Linked DNA regions of Rhinolophus ferrumequinum. The protein of the gene in region 1 purifies or fractionates together with the protein of each later gene. This does not show direct contact. Links are inferred from orthologs where the notes say so. Each region holds a gene or a part of one and is shown in the gene's direction. Other genes may lie near its edges.

Region 1 (7,694 bases):
GACAGCAGACACAAGTTTTCCAAAATTCTAATTTCACTTGAAAGCTTGAATTTTACCATTGCCAACAAAGTGTTATTTTCCAAAGTGATGTGACAGATCACTTTATTTTCAAGAGAATATCTGCCAAATACTCAAGTCTGAATAACAATGGTATGTCTTTAATCATTCTTTTGAGAAAAATTGATGTTCTGTGGGAAAAAAGCAGCTCACAACTCAATTATACAAGTTCTTTCTCTCAATGTAATCATCAATACTTTGACACGCAGCAGAAACACTCTGTACAGACTTCCCATTTTGTTACAAAGAACATTTTAAAAGTCTGTACTCAATAGTCAAGATTTAATAAAATTAATAGTTCTTACCGATTCATGAAGAACATTTTTAAGTAAAAATGACTTTTTCTTTTTTAAATTAATTTTATGGTGGTAAAGAATACAACAGCTACCAGTACAGTTTGGTGCTAGTACCTCAATTTGTGCTAAGGAGCATGGTGTTTTACCTACCATTGCTTTTGCACCAGGAATGTAAACATCATCACAGTGAAAAGAGCACGTCTCAGTATCATTATGAAAGTGCTTTTACATCACAGATCCTCTGACAGGGTCTAGGGAACCCCAGGTGTCTACAGACCACACTTTGAAAACTGCTTTTACAGGAGAGCATAAGAGATAAAGGTAACCTAGACTAAGAGGTTCAGGTAAGAATTCCTAAAAGAAACAATACTTAACACTTTAAGTGCCAAGAGAATAAGGGTGATCTATATCTGTTTGCTCATTCTTTTATTCCCAATTTCTGCTCAGTAACTGATACACAACCAGTTCTCAAATACATTGCTGAATGAATAAATGAAATGACATCTGAGTCGGAAAGGAAAACCAGGCCAACAGGGTGTTTAAAACAAAAAAACAGGCCCAAGGTGAAATCCCTTGCCTCTAGGACAGCAAACTGGGTAATTTCAGCCTTACCCAGGAATGTGACCTCAAACCAATCAGTATGGAATTTCCTGATCAACACTAGTGAAGTAATCTGCCTGACAAGACCGTGCCACCTTTCCCCCAAAGAAAGATTCCCCCGCCTGAAACAAACCTTTCTTTTCTTTTCTTTTGCTAATAACTTTGTCATGCCAGTTTCTGCCTATAAAAAAACCTTCTATTTTGTACAACTTCTCACAGCTCCCTTCTATTTGCTAGATGGGATGCTGAAATGTTTAAGAAAGCCAAATAGGTCTTCAAATTTGCTCAGTTGAATGTTGCTTTTTTAACAAGGGAAACCTGTGGTAGAACTGGGGTGGTCAGTGGCAAGAAATGAAGCTGGAAGAAAATACAGACTACTCTAACATTACATCGACACGATTCTGTACAAAATGTTGGCAAGCAGAATCCAGTATGAACAAGTAGGGTTTATTCCTGGAATGCAAAGATTCAGTTACTAGGAAATTGATTCATGTAATTTATATAAGTATATAGTCATCTCCATAGATGTAATCATGAAGAATAACATAAAAATATTAACAGGATTTTTGAGCCAAAAGGTTTTCTCTGCACAATAGTTAAACTATTGTTTATGTTTTATCTCATTCTTAACTGCTGCTTTTTGCTGAATGTTTTTGTGGTATAATAAATATACATATACAGAGAGTGCCAAAAAATGTATACACATTTTAAGAAAGGAAAAAACTGTATTAAAATTGTAATACTCAATATATACCAATAAAAAAAGATGAATACAAGTCACGTTTGACTTCTGCAATTACAAGAGGTGCTCAAAGTGGTTACCATCAGCGTCCAGACACTTCTGGTTACAGCCAACTACTGCTTGAGCAACACTGACCAAAGTAAGTCTATCTACAGACCTAAATATAGGTAGGGAAATTCTGTATATGATAAAGTTATGGAATTTCAATCACAGGGGGAAAGAGATTGTTGAATAAATAATGTGAGAACATCTCATAAGTCATCTGGAAAATAATTAAATCAGATACTTAATTTTTATCTTACCCTAATCCTGACCTATTTGAGATTTAAATGTTAAAAAGCAAACAAACATAAATACTAGAAGCAAGAACAATCTATAACCCAGGAGCATTTAAGATGTTTGCTTTCCTGAAACTGTTGTCAGTTTTGGTTCAAATAAACTTATAAAAATTTTCTTAAAAAAGGAACAATCTATAACTATCAGCAAAAATATGAGTTCTGACAAATATGAGCAAAAAAAGTTGAACACAAAAGGAATACACAATAATTCATTTACATAATGTACAAAAACAGGCATAGCTAATTTACGATGTTAGAAGTCAGGTTAATGGAGAAGTAGTAGAGTGGTGGTGATTAGAAAGGAACATGAGAGAGGCTTCTGGGATGCTGTACTATTCTGTTTATCTATCTGGTTACTATTTATACAGGTGTATTCAGTTTGTGAAAATTCACTTATGATATGTAAACTCTTCTCTACGTATATTATACTTCAATAAATAGAGAATTATTTTACAATCTCAGAGTGGGTAAGGCCTTCCTATGTATAACATCCCAGAAGTCATAAAAAGTGTTAACACATTTCACTACATAAGTTTCTGCATAGTAAAAAAGACTAACAACCCAACAGAAAAATGGGTTAAATATATGAATATACACATCCCTGAAGAGGAAATACAAATAGCTCCAAACTTACTAAAATATGTTCAACCTCACTTATAATAAGAAAAATGCAATTAATATGACAAGATACTTAACAAACTGGAAAAGACCAAAAAGTATGGTGAAACAGTAAATTGGTAAGTGTGAAGAAGCACACTCATACAATGCTAGTGAGTGTATAAATTGGCACAACCTCAATGGAGAGCAATTTGGCAATAACTTCGAAGTTAAAAATGCCCATATCCTTTAACAAAACAATGTTAACTTTTAGAAATTTCTTCTACAAAAACACTTGTACAAATACATGTACAAAACAATGGATGTGCAAGTATATTCACTGCTGCATTGTGTCTAATTGCAAAAGAATACAGATATCACAAATGTCCATCAACTGGAAATTGGTTAAATAAAGCAAATGCTATAACATCTTTGCATGTACACATAAGAAAATGGTAAAGATGACTGATCTAGTGAGGAAGACTAGGTGGCTTGGGATGAGGGTTGAAAGAAAAACTTACTTTTCACTGCACACCTGTTCTACATTTTGAATTTTGAATTATATATACTACCTATTAAATAATTTTTTTAAAAATTGTTTTTAAGTGAGAGAAAAATGAGTTAGGGAGATATATGCGGGGTCCAGACAGTACAGAGTATAGTATGTTCTGGTAAATAGTTGGTCTCTATACAGAGGACAATGGGAAATTAATGAAGATTTTTAAGCAGGGAAGTCAGTCCGATTTGTGTTCCCCAAACCACAGCGACCTTTAGGGATGAGAGCATAACGTTTATATAGAACTTAGGAATGCGCACTATACTTTCAAATTTATTATCTCATTTCTTCCTCAGATGAAGGAAATAAAATGCAAAGAGAAGATGTACGATTTGCCTAAGTCACTAAGCTAATAAATGGCAAAACCAAGTCATTTTACTAACAGATCCAAGTAAAACACCAAATTAGAAGGCCCTTACTTAGCTTCCCGAGTTTTCTAATCTAGCCACACGCTATCCCACTGTTGGAGATACACGGGGGTGACAATCACGCAAACGCTTGAAAACATGGTTATGTTCAGAATTAATATACTAGCAGAATCCCCACAAGACAAATGTGATTAGGCATATATGGAAAAAGTTCAAGAGACTATAAAACTGGGAGCCCAGGTCTCTCGAATCTCAGATGAGGTGATTTTTTCTTCAGCATTCCCCAAGTACAAATGAAATTACACCACAAGGAGAAAAGGGATCACGCCTGAAGTACCCTATGCGAAAAAGTGGACAGCGAGGCCGTAAGTCCCTCTGGGAGAGAGAAGAGAAGTGAGCCACCTACTCACACTCGTACTTCTGATTGACTGGAGGATACTTGGCCTTGGTCGCCTTCTGCTCCTCAGTCAAATTGTAATCTCTAACATCTTCCTCCTCCTGCGCCATGATTGCAGCATTGGACACTCTACTTCCGCCCTTCAACAGCCGGACCTCGGCCCTGATTTACAACTTCCGTTCTAGACTCCACCCCTTGGCACGTACTCTTAAAGGACCAGGACTCCATTATCGCCAACGTACTTTATCCCCACGACTTTCGTGTTAGGCTTCGCTACTTGGAGCACATTTTTAAAAAGCCGGGGCCCCATTTTCTACGCTTACTTCATCAATGATCTAAGGAGTAAGGAAACAAATTGGAGAACCCGGGAGTAAAGGACACGTGAATTAGACACCTCTAGGTCTGAGTGATTGAGGCCTGTACTTGCCGCCTCAGTTGATAACTAGACCCGAAAGCATCCTAAGTTTCCCATCCGAGCACTTTTAAGTGATCCCCTGAACAGCCTTTAAGAAAATGGCTGCCGCGAAGAGGGAGCGGACTATGCCTCTCACGTGACCCTGGCGGGCGCACTCCCACCAACGCCGCGCGCGCGCGCTCAATCGAAGGAAGTCAGCTCCGGGCCGTGGGGGGCAGGAGCGGAGCGCGCGCCTCGGCCCCGCGGATAGTGACTCCGCGCGTCTGGATAGGTTGCGAACGAGGATTCACCGCCCACCTCGCCGTTCGGTGCGCTCCGATTGGCCAGTGTTGGCGCGAAGGTGCGCGAGTCGCCCTCACGCAGGGACAGCAGGAAACAATAGAGGCCGCGCGCGCAGAGCGAGCGCCCGTAGCCTCCCCTCCCCTCCCGCAACGCTCGACCCCGGGATCCCCCTGGCTTGCCTGCCCGCCATGGCCGACAAGGAAGGTGAGGCTACCTCAGGAAAGCGGGTGGTACCGGGCTTGCGCCGCGGCTTCGACATGGCCTAACAGTGAGGGCAGGCCCCACTCTGCTGAGTGCCATCCCCACCATCGAAGGCGTGAGACGAAATCGCCCCGCGGGGCGGGATAACGGCCCACCAGCTTCTCTGGAGCGGAGGCCCGGTGCAGCGGCGTGAAGCTGGCGGTGGGGGCCCTGGCGGGTGTTTGGTCCCTCCTCACGTTCACTGTCGGTTTGTCCGTCTCTCTCCCAGTCCGCCCTGCACCGCTCTCTATCCCCGAGGGTCGCTGCTCGGGCCTCCTCGCCTTTTGGGTAGACTTGAGGCGTAGGGGTCCGTGCCCCCGAGGCTCTGCGCCGTCGCGCGAACGGCTAACGGAGTGTCTGGCCGACCTGACTTGAGATTAGTTCCGACCCGCAAAGATGTAGAGCGTGTTGGTGCCTCCTCCTAGGGGTAATTTAGACAGATGAGCTCCATATCAGGACTCGGCAGCCGTGCCGTTAGCTTTGGAAGTGTTTACTCGGTTCCCATTATGTTCGCTAACTTCATTTGTTTTTAATTTTTTAGCAGCCTTTGATGACGCAGTAGAAGAACGTGTGATCAACGAAGAGTATAAAATATGGAAAAAGAACACCCCTTTTCTTTACGATTTGGTGATGACCCATGCTCTGGAGTGGCCCAGCTTAACTGCGCAGTGGCTTCCAGATGTAACCAGGTGATAATGAATCTCCTGAACGTTATTTTGGTGTATCCTCGGTGTAGATGTCTCACTTTGATTTTTCCCTATTTTCCTTTCTACATTCATCCGAAGAGGGCACGTGATCAAAACCTATTGGTGACATTTTTTCTAGGTCAAAAAGTAGGCAATGTAAAATTACTTTGTAATTTTCCTGATAAGAGAGAACATGCTGTTTTCTTTTTCTGTTACTGAATTGAATAGCCGTATTATAACCGTAGTGGACCGAATAGTAATATAAAAACTTGTCAGTTTTCAGAAAGTATTATGATGAGTACAGTTCTATCAATCTCACAGTCACTGGTTGTAGCTGGTTAATACAAAGATGAATATGACATGGTACCTGTCTTTAAAGAGCACAGTCTAGTTGAAGGCAAGTATAAACTAATAATTGTAGTAATATGTGCTCAGAGTAGTTTTAGCGAGATACCTAGGATGCTTCGAACTAACAGCTGAAGGTGGGATGGTTTTCATATGAGGGAATTAGGCATGGTGAGAGATAAATGACATATTTCTTAAGCATGGCTAGCTTACCTCTAATAGAGGAGATAAAATATTTAGTATACTAGGAGCCACATCCTAGGACATGCAAATTTAGGTAAGACACCTTCCCCGCCTTGACTGCATGTGTATAAGTTACAACAGTAAAAAATTTAAGCGTGACAAAAGTTAAATGATCAGGAAGTGGGCGGGGGTGGGGGGGAATTAAATGATCAGAGGAAGGAAAAATTACCTCAACTTGGGATATCAGGAAAGGCTTCCATATGGAAGTGACAATGCAAAGATGAAGATGAATTTAGATATTAATATAAAGTTTTAGCAAAACCAGTGTGCCCGTTGGAATAATGGATTTCCTATTATAAAACTTTTGCTATTCAGAAAAACATTTAAAAGTTATATTTTATATGTAGTAAATAATAAATTCCTTCAAACTCGGGTCTTTAGAAGTCAAGATACTTGCAAAATGTGGTTACTAGAAATTTAGAATTGGATACTTGATCATGACCGGGAGTTACCATAGTCAACTGATCATCAGAATTACTTGAGTTCAGGATAAGGAGTCATTTCTGTCAGGAGTTCTCAATGGTAATTCAAACCATTTAGGAACTTGTGGCAGAGTGCTTGATGAGAAATAGTTTGTGTTTCCAGATTTACAGTCATGTCCTGAATTATATTGGACCAGTGGTTCCTGAATAATGACTACCCCATACCTATGAAATTATTCTGGAACCCATATGTTTAAAACGCTTCCCATGTAATGTAGTGATTATCTGGGTTTGGAAAGCAGTGAATTGGACTAAATTCCCCAAGGCTAAAGTTTGTGCTATCGTTTTAGTAACTTTCTGCTTCAGCAGATCTAGGTAAATAAATCTTTCTGTAATGTTTGACATTGATCCAAATACCTGACTTTTTCCTTTCTCCTTTTTTTTTTTTTTTTTTGGTATTCTCATAATAATGTTAATTTTTTTTTAGGATGAGGATTGCTGGTAAGCATCCCTAATGCCAAGTGTTTAATTATTTGTGTATGTGTTTCCTTTGTGTTTATTCGTATCCTTTTTTTAAAAAATGTAGTTTTACAAACCTCTTCTACCTTCCCTCACTTCCTCTGGTTCTTTAACTTTCTAAACGCAGGAATTCCCAGTTTTATGTTGACAACCCTCTTTTCTTTCCTCTACTTTTTCTATTTAAGATATACCGTGTTTCCCCGAAAATAAGAACCAGGTCTTATATTAATTTTTGCTCCAAAAGATGCATTAGGGTGTATTTTCAGGGGATGTCTTATATTTTCATGTACAACAATCTACATTTATTCAAATACAGTCATGTCATCTTCTGGAACATCGTCACAACCTACTAAATGCATCTCTCTGGCTGACAATCTTAACTGGGGCTTATTTTCGGGGTAGGTCTTATTTTGGGGGGAATCCGGTAGGTGCCTATCACCTCTATGCAGAGGAATTCCTCTTATCTCTTAGAGCCAACTTCTATTCTAGGCTCTTCCTGAATTTTCAGCTGCCTACTGGTGTCCTCTGGAGTATCTTAATTGGCTTCCCAAACATGACATGTTCCAAACTGAATATATTCTTTGCATGTAG
Region 2 (7,283 bases), on another chromosome or scaffold:
GTACCCATCCTAGCCACAGTGGGGTTCAAAGGGCCATGGCATCAGAAGCATGGGACCCTGCTGATAAGCCAGGGAAGACAGAAGGGGAAGTCACAGAACCAAGAGGCACTCCCCTTTCCTGTCTGGCTAGGATTTGTTTGTCTTCCACACAGGCTGTTCCTGCTGATATGACGGTCTGTCGAGTGTCCAGCTTTGATTGGTATCTCCAGTACAGAGGAAGTAAGGAGCCCCCTGCCTTTCAGGAGCTATTTTCTTCTGGACTTGCGGAGTTGAGTCCCAAACACATTTATTTCTCTTTCTGGCACCACTGGTGAGAGCAGAAAGCCATGGAGAGGATCCAGAATCATGATGTCAGAGCTAGAAGACCTCAGAGAAAGGAAGAGGTCAAGTAGAGTGGTTCAGAGCGTGGGTTTGGGGGTCAGAATGACTGGGCTTAAATCCTGGCCACACCGTTTACCAGCTGGGTGATTTGGGGCCAGTTCTAGAATCCCTTTAAACCCTAGTTTCCTCAGCTGTAAAATGAGGATGAGAATATTATTGACTTCATATGACATGAGATGACCCATTTTAAAGCACTTACGCACACTGCCAGGCACATAATGAGTGGTCAGTATTTGAAGGCCATTATCATTTTTCTAGTTCTGCAGTTTTACAGTTGAGAAGCCTGATGGCCAGAAAGGAAGCACAGCTCATTAGCTGTCCAGCCAATCAGGGTTATTTCCCAGGCAGGGCCGTGCCAAAGGCGTGTCCCACTGTGGGATCAAGGCCCTACATTAACTGTGCCGAGAGAGCAAGAAATGGGCAGCACCGCCCTAGCTGTGGGGTTGGAGCTTTCAGAGTATGTACAAAGCAAGGCATAGCTCCCACCCCAGTGATCCCCAAAAAAGAAAGTCCCTTCCTACTGGAATTATTTATTTTGTAATTAACAAAGGCTAAGGAGGCCCTTTCTAATATTCTCGCTGGGAGGTTCGGAGTTTAAACTTATAACAGCCATGGACAAGGGTTTATTGTGGACCTGTTGTTACTTGCTGAATCGAATGCATTATTATGATCCCTGAGCCACTAGGGGTCAGGAGCTAAGTACCTGGGGGTGGAAAGCTGTGTTTTTGCGATCAGAGGACAAAATGTCCGGGAGTGGAGAGGCAAACATTGAGCCATGTATCCAGGCTCAGTAACGTCCAGGCCCCAACTTGCTTTGGAGCTGCCTTTACCTCTAAGTCTTCAGGGAGGGGTCTGGCACTTGAGCTGGCCCCACCAAGTCCTAAGCAGCAGCCCCAGTTTCTGGTGATCTTTATACAGGCTTTTAGGTTGTGCTTCGCTTTGTTTTGTTGTTTGTTTCCCCACAGCAGGGTGGCCTTCCTTGCTTCTGGGTGGGAACTGGGGGAGGGAGGATGGTTTGCTCCCATCTCCACAGCTGTGTTTACACTTCCCTGTCAGGGACTGTCTGGGGCCCCAACCTTTCCTCAGTCCTCTGCATCCCCTCAGAGAAATGCTATTTGATATCCCTGTGGGCTTTACATGGGAGGGGCAGAATGAGTCAAGGGGTCACCATCCAAAGGGGGCTGGAAGGAAGCGAGGAAGGTTGTCAGGGAGGAAGGAATAGTGCAGAAAGTTCTGTTTGAATTCTGGGAAGCATTATCTCCTTCCCTTTCTATCAGTGGCCTGAAGACCAGCGCGGGACAAAAGTACACTTAGAACTTGCCTGCCCCAGAAGGAACAGAACGCGTGACATGTCGTTTCTAATCACCGGGTAGAACAAAATCTTGCTTTGTGCTGGGAATGTGAACGCACAGAGCAGAACAGTCTTCCCTACGGGTTCATTAGCGCCAGTGGTCAGAGATACAACATGTTAAAGCCAATAAGATCATGCTAAAATACACACAAATTAAAAAGGATTTAAGAAAATGGTCAAATAAATAATACTTTTCTCCAGGGAGCAAGCTGAGCTGGTATTAATCAGTATACTAGTGTTGCCGGACTCTCTGCCAAGCCCAGGAGAATGGCTGCCAAGGCAAATCAGGCATCAGGTTTCAGAAATTAAACACATAATTTTATTTTTCCGCATTAGGGAACTTTCACAAAGAACCAGCTCTATTAGGCTACTCAGCACACTTTGTCCAGTTTCTTTCGGCCCCAAAGGCCTCCAATTTAAGAGCAAAATGACCAACTGGAAGCCAGGAGTGACAAAGTTATTCCTTTCTCCTATTAACTGCCTGGCGGGGTGGGGTGGGGCTGGAAGGAGTGGGGCAGAGGTAATGGTACTGTTTTTCAGAGGTCCAGTTGCTGACCACTTGCCAACAGTTTTTCTACGAATTTATAGGACAAAGACCTAAAGGGTTGGAAAAGAAAAAGTTGTAGAGGAACAGCTGGCCAAACAAAGATTGGCTGATAGTTTCGCATGGACCATGGTTAGCTAAGAAAGAGCCTGGTCTCAGAAAAACCATCTCATCACAATGAGGAAGAACCAGTTGACAGACAAAATTTCCCCAAGAACCCAATGCTTATTGGCAATGTGGAAGGTTGTTTTTATAATCTTCCAGTGAACAAGGATTAGTCCTATGCCAAGTTGTCGTGGTGGACATGAAAAAGATATACAGCATGGTAGTGAGTGCAAAGTGTCCTAGAGTTGAAGCACGGGAGACCCGGGAGGGCTGGAAGGCTTAATGAAGACGTGGAGCTTGAGCTGGGCTTCAGGGCTCTGATCTACAACTTTGACATAAGTTTCCTCACCTTCCTTCTTCTTTTCCACCTCAAAATATTTCTATAACCATATTTTCTTTTTTATTGCAACATTTCTTTGTATCTCTTCTCTTGTCACTTGGCATACTCTCCTAAAGCAATGTTGTCCACTGCCATGGTGTTAGTTACCATCACTATGTCAATGGTGCCCAGATTTCTCTCCAGTCTCAGTCCTGACATTCAGATCTTCTGAACATCTCTCCTTAGATATCGCGCGTTCTTTTTTTTCCCCAACAGTTATTTATGTGGTATAATGGTTCTCAAACTTGGTCACACAGTGGAATTATCTGAGATGCTCTTAGAACTGGTGAAGCCCAGGGCATTCTCCAGGCCAATTAATCAGGCCCTCTGGGAGTAGGAGGAAGGCATCAGTTATTAAAGCTCCTCAGGTTATTTTCAATGTGAGCCAATTTTGAGAAGCAGTGATCTAGAAGGCAGTTGGAGATAAATTTAAGGTAAAGCTTTGTATTTTAAGTTTTAATTTTTTAACTTTATAGTTTGAAATAATTTCAGATTTACAAAAGAGATGCAAATGGTAGAGAGTTCCTGTAGACAATTCATCCAACTTTCTTAAACGTTGAGGAAGTATAATTGCCAAAACCAGGAATTAAGATTGATAAAATATTATTAACTAATCTACGGACTGTATTCTAATTTCATTATCCCACCGGTATCCTTTTTCTGGACCAGGACTCAATCCAGGATCACACGTTACATTTAGTTGTCACGTCTCCCCCTACCTGGTACAGTTCCTCACCTTTTCTCTTTCACGATCATGCCATTTTTTGAAGATACTGGTCAGTTATTTTGTAGGTTGCCCCTTAGTTTGGATTTGTCTAATGTTTCCTCATGATTTAATTCAGCTTATGCGTTTTTTTCAAGAATACCACAAATGTGATTTTGTGCCCTCATTGCACCATCTTGAGAGGTACCCAATCTAATAAAAATATCTCATCACTAGCGATGTTAATGTTGATCACTTGATCAAGATGATGTCTGCCAAATTTCTCTCCTGTAAAGTTAGTTGCGTTTGTAACTTCTAGGTATCTTCTGAGGAGATCCTTTGATACAAGGCTAATTTGAATCTAGGTAACTAGAAAAACTATTGACAGAAATGGGGGAGTCAGGTGTAAATCAAGCAAGAAGGGTTACTTAGAGCCCATATGAGTCTTTAAGGGTATTGGTAGGTGTGAGGGATCGGTATGAAGGGGTTCCAAGTTGGCTTCAAATACTGAAGTGAGATGTGCCTTGTCACCGGCATGTGAGGATGGTACAACCCTGGATAAGGTCTTTAAGAAGATATTCGTGGCTTCTCGAAGTTTCGAAAGAGCTCTTCCTGTCCCCTGATAGCGCCGCCTTGGAAACCATCGGGCTCGGGCTGCACCACCTCGGACTTCTGAGTTCGGGGGAGGGGGGGGTGTTGGTGCCAAATGACAGACGTGTGAAAAAGGAATCTCAGGTGGCCCAACCTGCAGGGCGGGCGGCGCAGTGCGCACGCGCCGGTGGAGGCGCGGGGCGGGGCCGCGGCGCGGGGGCGGGGCCGCGGCGCGCAGGCGTCCTAGCGGCGGGTCCCTGCGGCTCGGGATGGAGGGTGAGTGAGTAAACAAGCCCGGGCCGGGCTTTGGGGCCGGGCCTCGGCACCTCGCCACCCGGGACCTGAAAGAAGGAGAGGCAAAGGGGTCAGGGAATTGGGAGGAAGCGGAGGGGCACACTGCCTGCCTGGCCGGGGTTAGCGGGGCGCCCACACCCGCTTCCGAGGACTTGGGGAAAGGGGGCGACCAGGGGAGAGAGCCCCTGGCGAGAACGCTTCTGAGGCCGGGAGGGCGGTGTGTCCAGGAGGAGGAGCGGCGGGGGCGGGCCCGGGGACGGGGAATCCCGTTAGAGGGCGGGGTGGGCCGGGTGGGCGGGAGCCCTGGCTTATGGAGGGCGCGGGTGGGCGGTGGCACCAGCGGGGGCCCTTAGCGAGGTGGACTCCCAGGGACCTCGGGCTGTGCACCCTGAGGGCCAGACACGGGTGCTCGGCTTGCGATGACTTTGGGGGGTGTGGAGGAAAGGGTGTCAGTAAAAACAGGGTCGGGACTAGGGTGAGGTGAGTGAGGTCCTGAGGTGCGAAGTGTAGGGGACGCTCACTCGGGACCGAGCCCAAGCGGAATCCTCCTGAGGTTTTGCGCCCTGGGCGCCCCGCGAGCCTCACCAGCCTCAGTCCTGAGTTACGAGGCTGCTGCTCTGCAAATTTGGTCTCGCGCCAACCCCTGCCCACTCCGGGATTCTCCTGGGGATCAAAGGGAAAGCGCCGTGAAGCAAAAGCAAGGTGTTGTATTTGGGACATGCCTGTTACCGTAGGAAAAGTGGGACAAAATTATTTAGGTAAAAAGTGACTACTGAGAAAGTGTTTCGGGGGCGGGTATGAGGAAGGGATTTGGAAGGACGTTAGTGCCGCGCGGGTGGAATATTGAGAGCCAGTTTTTACGGGTGAAATGTAAGATTGTAAACGGAGTAATCTAAGGCTAGAGGGGTGAGGATGAGGAAAGGAGCCGAGGTGAACGAACAAACTGCGTGCGTAGGAGGACGGCATTCACTGTGTGGTCTGTTCCTCCGGGTTCGCTGCCCTGACGTCTTTGAAGAGAAAAATCCCCCACCCGGTGCCTTTAAGTTTTGGAAACTGGCGTTGAATGAAGTTTCCAGCCTGAAAAGGTGCTGTCAGAGGTTTCTGTGAGAGCTTGTCCCTTTTAAGCCTTGGAATCCCCAGGGCTGGGTTGATGTGGCCTTGATAAGAGCTTACTTGCTTACATAGAAGAAAGTGTGTGTTAGAAGATATGTATACTTTTTAAAAATCACATTTATAGTAAAGGAAAGGACCATATATAAAAATGTAGTGATCGTATTATTGTCAAGGTTTATGGTAAGTGTGTGTGTATCACAGTGTGAATTAACTCTCCAGGGCAGGGATGTTTGTCTGTTTTATTCACTGATGTACCCTAAGCACCTAAAATAGTGCCAGGCACACAGTAGGTGCTCAATACAGATTTGTCGAATACATGAATAGTAGGCAGATCTCTGGGGCTGGATCCTAATTCTGTTACTAACTGGCAGAATGCTTGTAGTCCAGTCATGGAACTTGATGCCAAGAACTTGATGCCAAGGTACAAGTTTTGTTTTTTGTGGGTTTTTTTTTTAAGATTTTTTTTATTGGGGAAGGGGAACAGGACTTTATTGGGGAACAGTGTGTACTTCCAGGACTTTTTTCCAAGTCAAGTTGTTGTCCTTTCTGTCTTAGTTGTGGAGGGCGCAGCTCAGCCCCAGGTCTAGTTGCCATTTCTAGTTGCAGGGGGCACAGCCCACCATCCCTTGCGGGAGTCGAACCAGCAGCCTTCCGAGTTAGGAGCATGGAGCTCTAACCGCTTGAGCCACCGGGCCGCCCGCCAACGTACAAGTTTAAAACTCCCCGAGGTTGAAATGACCTCTTCATTATGGTATTACTTTAATTCTCTTTGAAACAGCACTAGAATAAGGAGCCTAGGATTAAAAAATGAAAATTTACTCCCCAAACGACTTTTGTGAGAAGGGAAAAGGTCAGAAAATGTAATCAGACTTGTTTCTCTTATCTTACTTGCCATTGAATTAGCACGCCTTTAAAAAACCATTTAAAATATTAATTTTGTCTGTTTAGTTTTTGATATCTGAAATCTGGCTTTCTTAGTCCTGTGGGTAACAGTTCCTGCCCTTGATTTGTGCTTTATCTGAAACATGTAACAATTCATTTAGTTACGTAGTATAACTTTTTTCTGTCTTGGCCTAAGTCTTAAAAGTTTCTGCTTTGTTAACTAGCGACTTCCCAAAAAAGGTTTGAGGCAGCAACACTAAAAGCACATTACATTTCTACATCGGGTAGTTAAACTAAAGAGAAAAACGAAAAGGCATGTGGAGAAAGGTGAGAATTATTCCGGTTAGATTAGGATTGCAGAGGAGGGTATATGGGGAAAAACTGCTTTTAGGGAATACCTCCATTCCAGAAAGTCCTCGGCTTTTTTTTTTGTTTCGTTTTTAATTTGTTCAAATTGTGTTTTGGGCTCCTCCTACCCCTTTGGTCCATCAGCCTGTCAGTGGGATTTCAGGGCTCCAAACTTTAAAATTAGGAATTTCTTAATGGGTAGTTGGAGTTTGTGGTGTGTTGTGTTCGCTGACACACTTGCCCTAATACTTTGATTCAAAAATGGAACAACTAAAAAGTCTTGATTTTGTTGAATTGGTAATGAGCAGTCTCTAAACATTAAGCTTTATGCTAGCTTAGTACAGAACCAAGGTAGGGCTCCAGCCTGTTCCGAGAGGGCCCTAACAGGGCCTTTATCTCTTCTAAATGAGCATTGGATATCCTAAGGGCCAGCATTTTCCTTTGTGTCTCCTAAAAACTAATCCTGCTTTGATTTTTATCACCATTGTCTCCAGTGCACGTGACTTGATTCTCTTCATAAAGCAACGCTAGACAGTATTAATGCTATAACTTTATATAAGAAGTCAGGGTCACAGCTTCCTATTAGTAAGGT
Region 3 (7,846 bases), on another chromosome or scaffold:
TTTAAATATAAAGACATCAGTAAGTTTTTTAAAAGGAATAGAAAAGGATATACCAGTTAAACTCTAATCAAAACTAAGATGGAATGGTTATATTAATAACAGACAAATTAGACTTCAGAACAAGAATATCCGAGACAAAGAAAGACATTATAAAATGAAAAAGTGATCCATTCACTAAGAAGACATAAAAACCCTATGAGGATAACAGCAGAGTTTTATATAGGAAGCAAAAACTTGTAGCATTGAATGAAGAAATAAACAAATCCACAATTTAGTTGGAAAACTCAAAACCCTTTCCTCAGTAATTGATAGAATTCTTTTGAAAATCAATAAAGATATGAAAGGCCTGAACAACACAACCAAACAACTTGACTTCATTGACACACGACAGCAGAATACACCTTCTTTTCAAATGCACCATCACCAAGACTGACCATATTTTGGACCTTAAAAACTCCTCAACAAATATAAAAAGAGATGTAAGGAACTGGCTCACGTCATGATGGAGGCCGAGAAGTCCACGGTCAGCCCACACTGCAAGCTGGAGACCCAGGAAAGCTGGTGGTGTAGTTCCAGTCTGAGTCTGATGACCTGAGAACCAGGAGGGCTGATCGTTTAAGTCCCAGTCCAAGAGCAGGAAAAGTCCAAACTCACTCAGTCAGGCAGAGACAGCAAATTCTCCCTCCATCTTTTTGTTCTAGGAAGGCTCTCAATGCATGCAATGATGCCCACCCACCTTGGGGAGGGTAACCTGCTTTACTCAGTCTACCAATTCAAATGCTAATCTCTCTTCAAGGTAGAAGGATTAGGTATTGAAATGGGAGTTGTTTTTTTTTCTGTCAAATTCATTCAAAATTATAGAATGAAGAAAATTCATTAAAAGTTGTAAAATATATATCCCATTCAGCAACAGGAAAAAAATCTGGTATATAAGCAAGACATTTAAAATAAGAAAACAAAAAAATAAATAAAATAAGAAAACAAGTGAGAATTCCTTAAAAAAATTTTTTTTAATTCTGTACATTTTATAATAATGTTAAGAAATAATTGTGATAAATGACAGAGACACAGAAATTATTCTTATTTCTTGCAATAAGAACATTAGAAGCAATAGTGATAGGAGTTGAGTATTAAAAGGTAAAGATAGTTGAGAGAAGATGTAACACTATTACTGTAAAAGCTAATTTTAAGTAAGGACTGGATGCACCAAAACTTTTCCAAAAACACAGCAGTTGCCTTCTGTACTTTTTAAATTAACTCCAATAAGCCATGGGCGGTAAGAAGGAACTACAATGGGTTGAGGAAAGAAGAAAGGACTGGACAATCCCAGGACATTTCCAAAGTAGGTAAATTTTTTTGAAAAGTATTTTGCAAATTACCAATTAACCTGGTGCCTCCTGTTGTAAAGTTATTCACACATAATAATGGAAGAGCCGATCTTTGCTCCAGAGAAAGAGGTCCTGAGAGTTTTCAGATCCATAAATAATGGGACTGATTAAAAATAGGTCATCCAAATCTATCTAATTGCCTTCTATTTTTAATGTAAATTCTTTTCATTGATTTTTAAAATGGATAGCCCATTAAAACACATTAATCATGACCCTAAAAGTGTATCTGTAGAGCAAAAAGCCTAAGGTGAAGAATAAAAAGCAATTTCCCACCACATGAAACTGAGGCAGGAACATCACCAAAGAAAGCTGGAGCCCTACTTTTCCCAGGAAAAAAACACATTTCTGGGTAAAAGCTGGGAGGAGAGGTATCATTATGATAAAACGTTGTTCAACTGTATGACAGCGGTTTTAGAATGTCTGGAACCATGTGTGTCCTATTTAGGTAAATGGTCTCTAATTTTGTAGAGGCAAGGTAAAATACATGATCGGCTCTGCTGTGTTACATATCACATGAGAAATGCACACTCACAATCGCGGGATACAATTCATTCTAGAAAATGAAGCTAAGGAAAACTACTGGAATACTAAAACTAATCCGTCATCCAGCGATAACACCAGAAACATTTTGATAAATACATACTCGGATTGTTAAAACATACAACGCATATTTTTTAAAGGCAGATATATAATACATGTTTGTAACCTCCATTTATTCTAAGAAAAAAATCATGTTTTTGATGCCAATAAATATAATTTTTCAAAACTGTAGTTAATGGAACACAGATATGTATCACCATTTACTCAACCTTCTTTCTAGGATTGGACTTTATAAACAGTGCTTCACTAAAAATCTTACAGCTAAATCCTTGCCAACATTCTTAATTACTTAATTACTTAGGATAGATCTCAAAAAGTAGACTCAGTAAATCAAAGAATAAACATGTTTTGTGAGCTTGGACTGACACCTTTTGGAAAGTTAATTGTTTTTCAGCTATTTCACAGTCCCTTTGTTTCCATCAGCCCTAGAATGACAGAAGAAAGTGAACCCTTTTCTTGGCGGCCTAACAGATGGGGCTTAATACTTGCCACGATCTCAGACTCACGTTTTCACTGTCACATAGCGAGAAGTTTTTGTAAACGCTGGGAACGGCCCAAAGCTGTGCTTCTCCAACCACAGAGAGGTGGTGACATTTCCACACCTTGCCAACATAAAATTATGTACATGGCAATTCTATGCAGAATAAATCCTCATTTGTTATATAAAGTTGTATAAAATGCAGGCACATTTTATGAGAGCAGACATAAAATAATTCCCGCGAGAAAGATTTCCTATGTGTAATCATAATTTTAAGCAGCACTTTAAGGGGTGAAAATTCTGGCCATGCCAGCAGAGGACACTGCGCAGGCTCAGCCCGAAATGGAGATCCTGCAGCAGAGCTGACCACTTCCTCATCTCTGCTGCCCCCGGAAACCCCTTGAGACGCAGAGGGGCTACACCAGCCACTTCCACTACCAGGGAAGGAGTTCACTTGGGATCCTTCCCTGTCATATGGGGGTGAGGAGTGGTGGAAGGGGAGTTTGCATAGCAGGTCTGGGTTCCTGAGGTCACATGTTAGGCTGCTATAGGTGTCTGTGGGGGTCAGGGGAGGGTGTTTGTAGGGAATGGTGTCAAATTGGGAGCATCCTGCAGGACTCCTCCTTCCGTCGTTGGGCCATGACTTTGGCCCATGGGATGGGGAAAGCCAGTCAGAGAGGACTGGGAGGCCAGCAGGCCTAAAGAACAAGGGCCAGTGCACGTTGGTTTAGAGGGGATTGCCAAAGAGAGTATGTTTTTGGACCCTCATGCCTTCTCCTGAACCAGCATGATTCCTTAGGATAGAGGCAGGTCCTTGGACACTCAGTGAAGCCCTGGATCCTGAGAGTGGCTTTCTAGGTGTAGGAGAGCCAATTTTGAAAAGTATCACTATCTCGCTTGTTAGTCATGAAAGAGAAAGTTTTCCAAGAATTAAAAGAGACGATAAGGAAAACCCTATCCAAGATGTCAAGTCTCTAAATGTGACAGTCACGTGTTTGAAAAACAACCTGAGTGTGCCAACAGAGTGAAAGGAAAAGCAGGTAAAGTTCCTGAACACTCCCTAGAGGGAAGGAGGGGAAAAGCTCAGCTGACTCATGAAAATTGGACAGCTACAAACGGAATGTGTACCATCAGGTCCTCGTTACAGGCTGGGTTCTCCAGGTGGCAGAATGTGACAGAGTTAGTGTGCAGGATGTTAACTAGGGAGTGCCCTTCGGTTCGGCGGCTGGGAAAGAATGGAGACTGGACAGGTTGCCTCGGCAGATTCCAGGCGGAATCTGAAATAACCCTGTCTTCATATTCCCACCTGGATCAGCCGCTGGATTTGGGGCTGCACGACCGGGGGTGAGGGGTCCTCTGCACCTGAGAAGGTGCCTGCCGACAGCCACCAGCAGCTGCGGTGTCTTGAAGGCGGCTCTGGGTGGCCCATCTCTGAGTCCATTACAATACATTTTCTGGACACTCCACTACGTGAGCCCCGGAGTTCTTCTCACCTCCCTTACCCCCAATTTCTGCTGGATGGCATGAGAGGATTGGGGCGCAAGCTGAGCGAAGATGAAGAGCCCCAGCTAGGGACCTAATGGTGCTCAGTTATGCTCTTCTTATGTCACGTACTATATGGTAATTGTATCAGCATCAACACATGAATATGACTAAGTTATGAAGCTGAATAAAACTTCTCTAAAATGTACTTCGTAAACTCGACCAACCACACTCGAGGAAAGACTGCATTCTCTTTCTATACTTTAGAGAAAACATTACAACATTAATATCAACGAAGAGTCTGAGTGCGCAATAAAAATATATATACGAAAAAGGTGTACCAAGAGAATAAAAAATTATATTTTCCTGGATGCTCAAACGTTTACGATATTTCTTTCTAAACGTATGTTCCCTTTCCTGCCTCCTTTTGTATTTGTAATTTGGGGGGTCTCTTTCTTGTGCCCCTCCCCCTCCCCCCCTACCTCCCCCCCCTCCCCCCCTACCTCCCCCCCCCTCCCCCCGGCTGCTCTCGTGACAGCGCGAGGGCCCAAGGCGGGCGGGGTGGCGGAGCCGGCTCCGGGGAGGGCGCGGGGCGACGTTTGGGTGAGGGGCCGCCCCCCACTCGGCGGCGAGTCCCGGCGCAGGTCACCCGGGCATCTCCTGTGCACAACCCGGGAAATGATACGGACTTCACAGGACTCTCGCCATTAACCGGCAACCGACGGGACTACCGCGCCACTCCCGTGCGCATGTGCGGCGGCGCACCCCGCCCACTACTTCGGAGCCGAGCGGCTGCGGGAACTCCGGCGCCTATGTTTGAAAGGCCCAATCAGCGCCCAGCCTCTCAGCGCCAGCCAATGGAAAGCCCGAGGGGCGGCCAGGAAGAGCGGAGTCCCTATTTGAACTGGGGCGCGGGGCGAAGCTCCCAGTCCCGTTTCCTGCGGGAGTCGGGGTTTGGGTCTCCGCGCGCCATGAAAGACGAGGTGCTAGGGGAGGATGCACTGCTGCAGAAGCTCAGGGACAGCCGCCGCCGCTTCCAGCGTCACATGCAGCAGTTGCTAGAAAAGGTGCGGCCCCCACCGGCCCGCTGGGAGGGGCGCGAGGCCGGCGGGGAAGGGGAAGACGGCGTCGGGGACTGGGGAAAGGAGAAGAGCGGCGGGGAGGGAAGGTGGAGACAGGGTGGGGAGGCCTGGAACGGGGAAGGTGGGTTTAGGGCCTGGAGATGAGGAGAGAGGAGGCAGGATTTAGAGTGGGGGGGGGCAGGGGAAGGAGTGGGGAGGTTCCCAGACTTCCAGCCTCGTGCTGTCGCGGGTCAGTGGCTACTTGCGACCCTCGGACCTGATAGGGCGCCCCTTTCTCTCCTGCAGTACAACAAACCCTTCGAGGATGCCCCGCTGGTGCAAATGTCCACGCTTACCTACAAGACATCCACGGGTAGGAGTCATTTCCCCTTTCTGAATATTTACAGTTAAGAGTGTGAACAGAATAGTGTCTTCCTAGAGCTTGAAATGCTGTCCCTGCTCTCTTTGGAAAATAATACCTGTTCGCCTAATAGGAACTAAAACATTACGAGTTCCCTTGAACCAATAAGTTAAATTACTTCTTCCAAACAGAATTACTTATCAAAACAGAATCCTGAAGACAGATGCGTAGTGGTTAAAAATGCCCCTGCCTGGGTTGGCATCCCAGCAGGCCATAAAATAGCCGTGTCAGCTTGGACCTGTTGTTTTAGCCAGGCTATGTGTCAGTTTCTTTATCTGTAAAATGGGAGGATGATGACAAAAATATCTACTTGGTGCAAATGTGACAGTTATATATGTGAGTGCTTGTGAAGTTCTTGGAACAGTGCCCTGCGCTAGAACACTCGTATTGACTGTTATTTGTTTGACTTGGAATACTAACTGTCCTTGAGATTCTGTGTACTTGGAACTTGGCTTGAATCTAGGGAGAAAGAGCCTTTCTGTTTAATGGTTGGTGTTGCGAAATAACTTGAATCTCATGGAATCTCTTTAGTAAATAGCTGGAGAACGTTTGCACGGGGTGAAAGTTTGTCACGTCCTCCCGTTCAGCCTTATTACCAGCTCATTACTACTAATGAAAGCAAATCTCAGATTCAGTTTTGCCAAGTGTTGGACAGACAGGTACAAAGAGGTTTCATAAGACTTACTCCTTAAATGAAGACCTAGCCGTCTTCCTTCTCAGCAGACCCAGCCATACCTTGGTAGAAAAGTTTCCGCAGGCAGGACCTAAGGGATTCCAGCTGCAGGTTTCTGTTGCTCTCGCATCTACAGCAGGCGGTGACAACTCCAACCCTAGGGCAGGACCCAGGGCTCTGCAGGAATCGTGCTGACGGACTTCACTGAGCACGGGCCGTGTCTGGAATATCTTGGCCAGTTCACATGTCTTCAGTGCCACTGATTTCACCAGTGAAGACTCATTGCAGACTCCCGTTTTGATGAGAACAGTAGTTGAAGTATCTGAACACCTCGAGAGCAATTACACTTAACATGTAGAAGACCATGTGGAGAGCTTGTTAAAACACAGATTCCCGGGGCTCCTGACTGCGATGCTGGATTCAGTAGGTCTTCAGTCTAACAGGCCCCTAGCTGGTGACAGCAGAGGTCCCCTGACCTGTTGCTTAGCCTGGAGAGGCACTCGAGGAGGGAGTGGCCTGTCTGGCTAAATGCTAGCTGACCACCCTTGCAGCGGGAATGCCCACTTAGGGAGTAGACTGGAACTGACACTTCCACACAGTATGGTGAAGTCAGCACGAAAGTAACAGTGGTTCACGTGTGTTGACAGCTAAGCATGTGCTTCTAAGGGTCTCCTGTTTTTGATTCTCAACACTGTGAGGTAGGTACTGTCCTTAGAATCATCCTCATTTCCTAGCGGGTGATACAGCAGGGAGAAGTTAAGGAGCTTATCCCACGTCACTCAGCCAAAGTGACCAAACCTGGGTTTAACACCAAGAGCATTTGCTCAAGCATCACCCTGTTCTGGAAAGGCTGCATGACACAGTGGTCAGGAACACGTCACTGTCCCCAGTTCACAGCCTGGCTCCACCACGCAGGCAAGTGTCCTGGGCTAGTTACTTGACCTTCTTGCTGTGCCTCCATCTGTACAGTGAACTTGGTGAGTGCCTATCCCGGAGGGAGTTAGGAAGTCCTGTTTGAGTGACATGTGAGGGACTTTGTGTGAAGATGACATGAGGTGCACTTGGAAAGAGTTTAGAATAGAGCCTGGGACGTTGAAAGCACCGTGGAAGTTTTGCTGCCATTATCATCATTCACAACCATCTCAAGCCTTGAACCGCAACGACCTCTTCTGATTATCTGGAATCGATCTGGGAGCAAATGAAGGTTTAGGAAGAGATGAAGTGTCTGGCCCAGGCTCTGTGACTAGGAAGCGCCACGCCTCCAACGCTCAGTGTTGGTCTCTGTACTTGGGGCGTGCTCTACACGTGTGGAGACTGTCCTATTTTCATTTAGCTTTGTGGCTTCATGATGATGTTGGACCAGCAGCTGCCCCCTGGGTAGGAGAGATTTTCATTACTGACAGGTTTTTGTCTAATCTTGATTTTTTTTTTTTTTAAGACTTCAACCTCACAAAGATGAAAAACAACCAAAGATCAGAAATACAGCTTGGTTTTAATATTATAACTTTCTTTTGCCTGTCACTTTAGTTTTCTATGAATGCAGATTAAATAGACTTGGGGTTCAGGATTACTTACGTGCTAATTTTTATTCCATTTCTTCAGGATGGAGAGTTTGGGGTGGAAAAGTACTAAAGAAAAACAAAGGACAAGCCCAGGTATTTATTGTCACATTTTATTGCCACCATTCCTTGCCATGGAGGACTACTGACGGGATAAAGGTGTGGGTGAGCTGAACAGCACCAG
Region 4 (7,452 bases), on another chromosome or scaffold:
TGCTGGGCTGTCTCCCTTTTCCAGGTACAGACCTCCTGCAGGTGGCAGCCCATGAATTTGGCCATGCGCTCGGGCTACAGCACACCACGGCTGCAAAGGCCCTTATGTCTCCTTTCTACACCTTCCGCTACCCGCCAAGCCTCAGCCCAGATGACCGAAGGGGCATTCAGCACCTATATGGCCGGCCCCGGCCGGCCCCCTCTTCTAAGCCCCCAGCCCTGGACCCCCAGGCTGGAGTGGACACCAACGAGATTGCACCACTGGAGGTGAGGCACAGGAGGGTGGGAAGACAGGAGGTGAGGCCCTGCCCCAGCTACCCCCACCTGACTGGCCTCTGTGGCTCCAATGTGGGCTCTTTCCCGGCCCTCTCCCCCACCTCCCCTGCCCCAGCCGGAAGCCCCACCAGATGCCTGCGAGATCTCCTTTGATGCGGTCTCCACCATCCGTGGGGAGCTCTTCTTCTTCAAGGCGGGCTTTGTGTGGCGGCTACGCGGGGGCCGGCTGCAGCCTGGCTACCCTGCGCTGGCCTCTCGCCACTGGCAGGGACTCCCCAGCCCCGTTGATGCAGCCTTCGAGGATGCCCAGGGCCACATCTGGTTCTTCAAGGGTGAGTGGGGGCAGGGGGTCATGCTCAGATTTCCAGGAGCCTGGAATGTCATGGCCAGGGGTAGGGACAGACAGACAAATATAGGCAGGTAGAGGGTGCCCTGAAAGCTTGGGGCCACGGGAGAACAAGGCTCATTCCTCTGGGCACAGCTGGGAGACTTCTGAAGGCAATGGCTCTCAAGGTGGGAGTAGAATAGAAAGTACTGCACAGTGGGTCACACATTGGCCTCCAGCTCAGGTGGTGAAGTGACTCACCTGAGGGTATAACTTGAAAAAGGCAGAGCAGGGATTTGATCTAGGTCTGGCGACTGTAAAGCCTGTGCTGTTAACTTACAACTGCATTAGGGAGCATTCCAGGTGGCAGGGACTTCATAAACAAGGGTCCACCTAAGACCTGTGGCAGGGACCAGGGCTGAGCCCCAGGGGGTGGTGAGCAGTCAAATGCCCGGGGAAGGAGTGGGAGCCCAGGTGCCTCTCTGCTGCTGAGAATTACCTTTCTACGTGGTACCTTCCAGAGCCTGTACTGCCCCAGCTTATCCCTGTTGGCTCCAACTTCCCCTGGGGTGGGGGCGCCAAGCAGGATAAGGAAACTGAGGCTGGGAAAGTCCTGGTGGTGGTGGCAGCTGGGCAGGGCCATTGCAGCCTCCCCTCTCCACAGGCGCTCAGTACTGGGTGTACGATGGTGAGAAGCCAGTCCTGGGGCCCGCCTCCCTCTCTGAGCTGGGCCTGCCAGGGTCCCCGGTCCACGCAGCCTTGGTCTGGGGCCCTGAGAAGAACAAGATCTACTTCTTCCGAGGCGGAGACTACTGGCGCTTCCACCCCAGCACCCGCCGTGTGGACAGCCCCGTGCCCCGCCGGGCAACCGATTGGCGAGGGGTACCCCCTGAGATTGACGCCGCCTTCCAGGATGCTGACGGTGCGTTGGTGATAGGGCAGCTGGTGGAAGGGGTGTAGCAGGTGCGTCTTCCTCCCTGTGGTGGCTGGATGTCAGCTCTTCGTCACAGGGCCTTTGTCCAGCCCCCTCCCCATCCAGCCTCCTCCTTGTACCAGCGCTCGGTTATACCTTCCATGTTGTAGATGAGGAGCTTGAGGCCCAGACAGGAGCAAGGACTTGCCCAGGCCCCAGCCATGGCTGGTAAAATAATAACCACTGCACACACGACTGACAATGCTCCCGGCACCTAAGCTCCCTACCTGTCTCATGCAATTCTCTGACGTAGCACCTGTTAGGAACCCAGTTTGCAGAAGAGCAAACAGATTCAGGTGATGAGGTCCCTAGCCAGGGCCACCCAAGTGGATAGTGGGTAACCAGGAACCCCCACCCAGGCAGTCCCTGCTGAGCTGTCCAGCCTCCTATAATCTCCAAGGACTAGACTGGGGACTCATAGTCCATTGCCCTCACCTGTGCCCCCTTCCCCCTTTGCTTCTGTGCTTTCCCACACTGGGACCTGCTGGGAAAGCTGTCCTGTGGTGGTCTCAGGCTCTGGGGCTCCAGGTTGCCTCTATCACCCTCCATAACTCAAGATACCCATCGGTATCTGGCTGGTGGGTGTGGGAATAAAGTGAGGTAGAGGGAGGGGTGAAGAGGGAAACAGGACTTGCCTTCCTGAGATGTTGGAATTGGACGTCTGAGGCTCTCAGCAGCTGTCAGGCTGGGTCGTAGCCTAGTCCAGACTCTGGGCAGGACTCCCCCAAGGGAATGGAGCTTCTGGAAGGGCCGTCCTAAGGCCTGCAGGTTTCAAGGAACTCAGTGGTGGCCAAGCCTGCCCACCCGGACCTCCCCGTGCCCATCCCTAGGCATAGCCTGGTGAGCAGGTGAGAGGCCCGGTGTCCACTCACCCAGGCCTGACCCTCTTCTCTCCTCAGGTTACGCCTACTTCCTGCGTGGCCTCCTCTACTGGAAGTTTGACCCAGTGAAGGTGAAGGCCCTGGAGGGCTTTCCCCGCCTCGTGGGCCCCGACTTCTTTGGCTGTACAGAGCCTGCCAACACTTTCCACTAACCACTGCTTGGATGCCCTCAGGGCCCCTCACCCCTGCCAGGCCACTGACGTTGCCTAGAGACCCATGGCCATCTTTGTGGCTGTGAGCACCAGGCATAGGACAGAGCCTGTGGCTCCTCAGGGGGGTGGGGAGGGGTGGCTCCCACCATGACAAGTGCAGGAAGGGCCACGCAGGTCGTGGTCACCTGCCAGCAACTGTCTCAGACTGAGCAGGGAGGCTTTGGCATCAAGGGTGAGGGTGGTCTTGGACCGGTTCCACCCTACCTGTGCAGGTCACGGTCAAACCCGGCTGCCTTCGCTCTCCATCTTCGTCCCTCAGGAAAGGACCTCAGCAGGGCTGAGGGAGCTGGAGCCCTTGCTCTGTCCCTGATATGAGGTCCCTGCAGGGTGCTGGCACATGGATCCCGGGGCCACGTAGCCTTCTGCCCTTCCCTGAGAAGTCATTTCTGGGTAGGTGCTTGGAACTGGCTGCCTTCAGTTGGTGATCCTGGAGATCTGTTCCCCAAGATCCAGGCCAGAAGGTCTAGAGTCATCTGGGGACAGGGGTGCTCACTGCTGGAGACCCAGGGCCCTGGAGGCCCCAACATACCTCAATCCTGTCATGGGCCGAATCCTCTCCAGCCTTCATCCCAGCACTGAGACCCTCCAAAGCCATGTAAATGTGTGTACAGTGTGTACAAAGCATTTTCTTTCTTTTTTTTTTTTACGGAGAACTGTCATTAAACAGTCATTTTCTACCTGCCTGCCTGGGGTGTCTCTGTGATTGTGAGTCTAGGATGGGAGCTGTACCAGGGAAGTGGGAGACCCGGCTTGGGACCTGTTCTGTCCTCGGAACCAGGGTGGCAGTCCACCCCACCCCCAAGTCTCTGGTCTTTGGCGCTGGGTACTCTGTGTAGGGCCCCTCCTGCCCCATTCCTCCATCTCGTCTGTCTAGATGCGTGTAGTGCCTTCGTACTTGGTTCCCTGCTTCCCCGGCTTGCCCCTCAGATCATCCTCCCCTAAGCAGTGGTCACTTTATCTGATCTTCCAGGCCCAGCCCCTATCCCGTTGTCGTCAGGATACAGAACAAAACTCATGTTTACAACAGCTGACGCTTCCTAACAAGTGTCTCCTTGCCTGCCACCCAGCCCGGTGTATCTCCTTTACAGCTGCAATTTTTATTCGAAATTTATATGAAATCGGCAGCTGTGGGCCGGTTTTGACCTACTGCATTGTTCAACGGGAAACGTGGATGCTTTGATGCTTTCATTAATGTCATTCCCCACTCCCACAGGGCAGGGCTCTCTAGTTGCACTGCAGGGCTCGGCTTGTTGTCCGTACAAAGTGCAGAGTTAAGGACGGAATGGAGAAGGTTCCCTCCCTTCCAACACTCATCTGACGCACCAGCCAAACCAAATACCACCCAGATTGGAATCCTGCCAAGCCGTGTAGTCTTGGCCCATGCTAACACCGCCCTGTGTTGTCGTTCTGCCCATTCCTACAGCTGCAGGAACAGCTGCGGGCCGAGAATTGGGATATCTAGGAGTCCTCTTATCTGCTCAACTGCACCGTTTTTTCAGGGTGGGGAAACTGAGGCACACCTACTACTGGCCTCCTCACACCCTGCAGAGCTCACTTTGTTCCTCTTCCATTGCGTTGAGTTCCAGTCCTAGCTGTAGGACTGGGAACGCCAACGCCTGAGTCAGGGCCTCGATTGCTATTTCCACCTGAGAAGTCTTCCTTGGTACCGAGACTTGGGAGGAAGCCTGGGAGGAAGAGAAACGGATTTAGGCTCCTTTAAGGGACCCACGGGAGCGCGCCTTGGCCTTTTGTTTGGGTGGCGGTAGCGCGCGCGTCGGCGTCAACGCCCGCGCATGCGCACAGAGGGAGGCCTGGTCGTCGTCGCTGCGGCTGCTGAGGAGCCCGGCGGCGGCCGCGGCGGCGCGAGTACTTGGCCCGGACCGCCCTTTGCTTCCCGACTTCGGCTCCCTCGACTTGGCACGCCCCAGCGCCGCCTCAGCCCTCCCGATCCCTCGCAGCCCGGCTTTGGCTGCCTGCCTCCACCGCCGCAATGATGATGATGGCGCTGAGCAAGACCTTCGGGCAGAAGCCCGTCAAGTTCCAGCTAGAGGACGACGGCGAGTTCTACATGATCGGCTCTGAGGTAGCCCGCGGCGCGTCCTCGCCCTCCCGGGCCCCGGCCCCGCGGGAGCCTCAGGGCAGGTCTGCGCGTCGGGAACGCGCGTCTCCATTCATCGCGGCGAGGGGGTGCGCGCGCACGCGCGACGGGATGTGGCTTAGCAGGGCGTGGCCGGCAGGCCCCGCCCCGCGCTCCTCTGCGATTCTGGGTTTACTTAGCCATTTTGTGGTGGTGGGAACGTACCCTGTCGCCAGAACTAGGGCTCCCCGAGGGGCTGCTGGTTTCGTGCTGAGTTGGTACAACTCCAGACAGACGCAGACAAACTGGGTGTTACGGTTAGCCCCTGCGAAACACCCCGTTGGGGGTGATAATGTTGGAAATATCACGTGCGCCCCTCCCCCATTGCTACATCTGGGATCCTGAAATCGCCGGTTGTAAACATGGGGCTTAGTGAGGGCTCATCCTCATTGTGTTCGTTGCCTTTGAGGTGGGCAGGAGGTGTTTTGATCTTTGTTTACCAGGGAGGAAATAGGTTGGGAGGAGAATATTTGCTTTTGGGTGGATAAGGCCATCCTATTTCATTTGGGTGGATAAGGCCCCAGGTCCTGAGCTAGCTCTCAACAATTCAGAAGCAATTGACACTGTGGATATCTTGGACTAACTGAATTATTACAGGAGAAAGAGCCTAAAGATTTTTAATCCTGAACTAGAACTGATAGCACTTTGTTGAATCAGCTGGACCACTGACAGGAGGAAAACTTTTCAATGGTAGTTTGTACTAAGTATATTAAGTTTTTGCAGATTGCCTCAAACTAGCCCCTTTGGGTCTAAAGGCCATCCCCAGGTAGTGTATACTCCTTTTTTTTTTTTTTAATTATGGATATATAACTCAGATGTGCATATACCAAGCAGTAGAGTCTCTCATGTAATGAGGTAAGTGCTAATCTTGGAGAGCTAAATAAGTCCCAAAATGCCAAGCGCTGCCTTTCCCTGTAGTACTTTAAAGTATCAGACACCAACATTTCATTCCTGATTTTACAATTTTTGTTGTTTTTCTTCACAGCTGATCATAGCGTGAATGAATTACGCCTCATGATGGTCACACTGAGGCAATCACCCTGTGATTCCTGGCCAGTTATATCAAATTATGAGGCCAACATTGTCAGCATCAGAACTTGAGTGTTACCATTTTTCACCAATTTTTATTAAACAAAAAGGGCAGGATGCAATAATTTTTTCACATTATCCCGTAAATGCTGCTCTTCAAAGATAGCCATGCTGGGGAAGTGGAGTCAGTGCGTGTCTATCTGCCGTGGCTCAGAATGGTCCTCATCAGCCTAAGTGCAGGATATAGAAGACAGCTGAGTTTTAGTACGTGATAATGGGCAGATCGTTTAAATAAATCTTTACCTGGTCTAATGGGCAAGAAAAGCAATCAATTTGGTTTCGATTCTGAGTATGTGGTACCTCTGAAAAGCAAGCTTTCATTTATTAGGTGGAGCAAATTGAGAAGAAGCATGCAGCCAGGTGGGAAGAAGTCAGGAGGCCTGGTTCCAGCTCTGTTCTGCCTCCTTGTCACTTTTCTCATGTGTATAATGAGATGCTTAGACTAGATGACCTCTGAGATTTTCTCTGTAACACATTTTAGCTTCTAGAAAGTTATCTGCAGTCTTCTCTTTCAGCCCTGTTGAGTGAGACCATTGTCCTGCGACCGAGCCAGTAGAGACCTAGATGGGAGAAGGGAGAGGAGGTTTGCTTTCTGGAGCTTGGCTTAACAATTGTCAGACTTTTGGAGGTCTGGGAAAGGTTCAAGATCAGAATGCTGTCTATTGATGTCCAGTCGTTCCTGTGATAGCATTGGGTGCACGGCCCCCAGGCCCCTTCCCTTTGGGCAACAGGCCACTCAGAGAGGTGGGCCAGCCATAGCATCACACCCAGTGCCGTGGAGTGGCTTTGGGAAGACATCCGCAGTTGCAGTAAGTGTGTGTGACTGTTCTCCCGCCATCTGCAGGTAGCTGCATTCACCAAGCCAGAGTCATAGACCTGAGAGGACCTAGGGTATCCCCAAGTCCAACCTTCATTTCAGGCAAAAACTGGTTCAGGGAAAACCCAGGAAGGCAAACCCTGGTCTCCTCTATTCTGAAGGGGCCTTGGGAAGGCTCTAGGAGTCCCGGAGCTCCCCAGGACCTTCAAGGTAGTAGTGGGGGACACTATTGTTAATGTCTTTTCAAAACCTAATGGAAACTATACGTTTACCCTTGGATGGTAATGACACTCAAGCCAAATAACCGACAGGGGTCTGTGCCTTCTGTGTGGAGCACGATTGACTGGCTATGGTCACCTCTCACGCTGTTCAGCAGCTCTGGTTGTCGATCATGGAAATCTTTGATTCATGAAAAATGGAGAAATATTTTTATTAAATAAGTATACTATGTTGCGTAGGTAAATGGGACAATAATAGAAGTGGTCCTTTGTGTGGTCAACTTCAAAGTTGCTGTGCATTTGACAGATGAGTAAGGAGAGCCAGACTGGGGAAGTGATTCCTGGTCACAGGTGGAGACATCACCTGGCACCCAGTCAACTGGCTGTCTCCTGCCCTGTGATTCACATGGTCATTTTGGAAAAGTCAGTGAGACAATGAGGTTTCTTTATAAAAAACTTTAGGACGAGATTTTTTTTCTTTCCATTAAGGAAGTCATACTTTGAGTATTTGGTTCAAGCAAACTG

The links.
Region 2: the proteins of RBBP4 (region 1) and EZH1 purify together in Homo sapiens (affinity purification with mass spectrometry; 4 studies listed by BioGRID and IntAct, with this or other methods). This does not show direct contact. The link is inferred for Rhinolophus ferrumequinum from reciprocal best matches to the Homo sapiens genes RBBP4 and EZH1.
Region 3: the proteins of RBBP4 (region 1) and HJURP purify together in Homo sapiens (affinity purification with mass spectrometry; 5 studies listed by BioGRID and IntAct, with this or other methods). This does not show direct contact. The link is inferred for Rhinolophus ferrumequinum from reciprocal best matches to the Homo sapiens genes RBBP4 and HJURP.
Region 4: the proteins of RBBP4 (region 1) and SMARCB1 purify together in Homo sapiens (affinity purification with mass spectrometry; 3 studies listed by BioGRID, with this or other methods). This does not show direct contact. The link is inferred for Rhinolophus ferrumequinum from reciprocal best matches to the Homo sapiens genes RBBP4 and SMARCB1.

The regions. Positions count from the first base shown.
Region 1 is NC_046292.1:22,351,810-22,359,503, forward strand, and holds the start of RBBP4 (histone-binding protein RBBP4), read left to right. Parts: upstream 1-4,692; 5' UTR 4,693-4,836; coding exon 4,837-4,852; intron 4,853-4,954; exon of another isoform or gene 4,955-5,230; intron 5,231-5,429; coding exon 5,430-5,577; intron 5,578-7,694. Other genes in the region: ZBTB8OS (protein archease), read right to left, coding at 3,965-4,061. UniProt on the Homo sapiens protein: Core histone-binding subunit that may target chromatin assembly factors, chromatin remodeling factors and histone deacetylases to their histone substrates in a manner that is regulated by nucleosomal DNA.
Region 2 is NC_046304.1:38,410,267-38,417,549, reverse strand, and holds the start of EZH1 (histone-lysine N-methyltransferase EZH1), read left to right. Parts: upstream 1-4,273; 5' UTR 4,274-4,323; coding exon 4,324-4,330; intron 4,331-4,746; exon of another isoform or gene 4,747-5,050; intron 5,051-5,169; exon of another isoform or gene 5,170-5,433; intron 5,434-5,458; exon of another isoform or gene 5,459-5,882; intron 5,883-7,283.
Region 3 is NC_046291.1:5,347,174-5,355,019, forward strand, and holds the start of HJURP (Holliday junction recognition protein), read left to right. Parts: upstream 1-4,843; 5' UTR 4,844-4,919; coding exon 4,920-5,015; intron 5,016-5,315; coding exon 5,316-5,382; intron 5,383-7,705; coding exon 7,706-7,758; intron 7,759-7,846. UniProt on the Homo sapiens protein: Centromeric protein that plays a central role in the incorporation and maintenance of histone H3-like variant CENPA at centromeres.
Region 4 is NC_046308.1:22,690,472-22,697,923, reverse strand, and holds the start of SMARCB1 (SWI/SNF-related matrix-associated actin-dependent regulator of chromatin subfamily B member 1), read left to right. Parts: upstream 1-4,452; 5' UTR 4,453-4,656; coding exon 4,657-4,749; intron 4,750-7,452. Other genes in the region: MMP11 (stromelysin-3), read left to right, coding at 25-266, 391-607, 1,265-1,522, 2,473-2,606.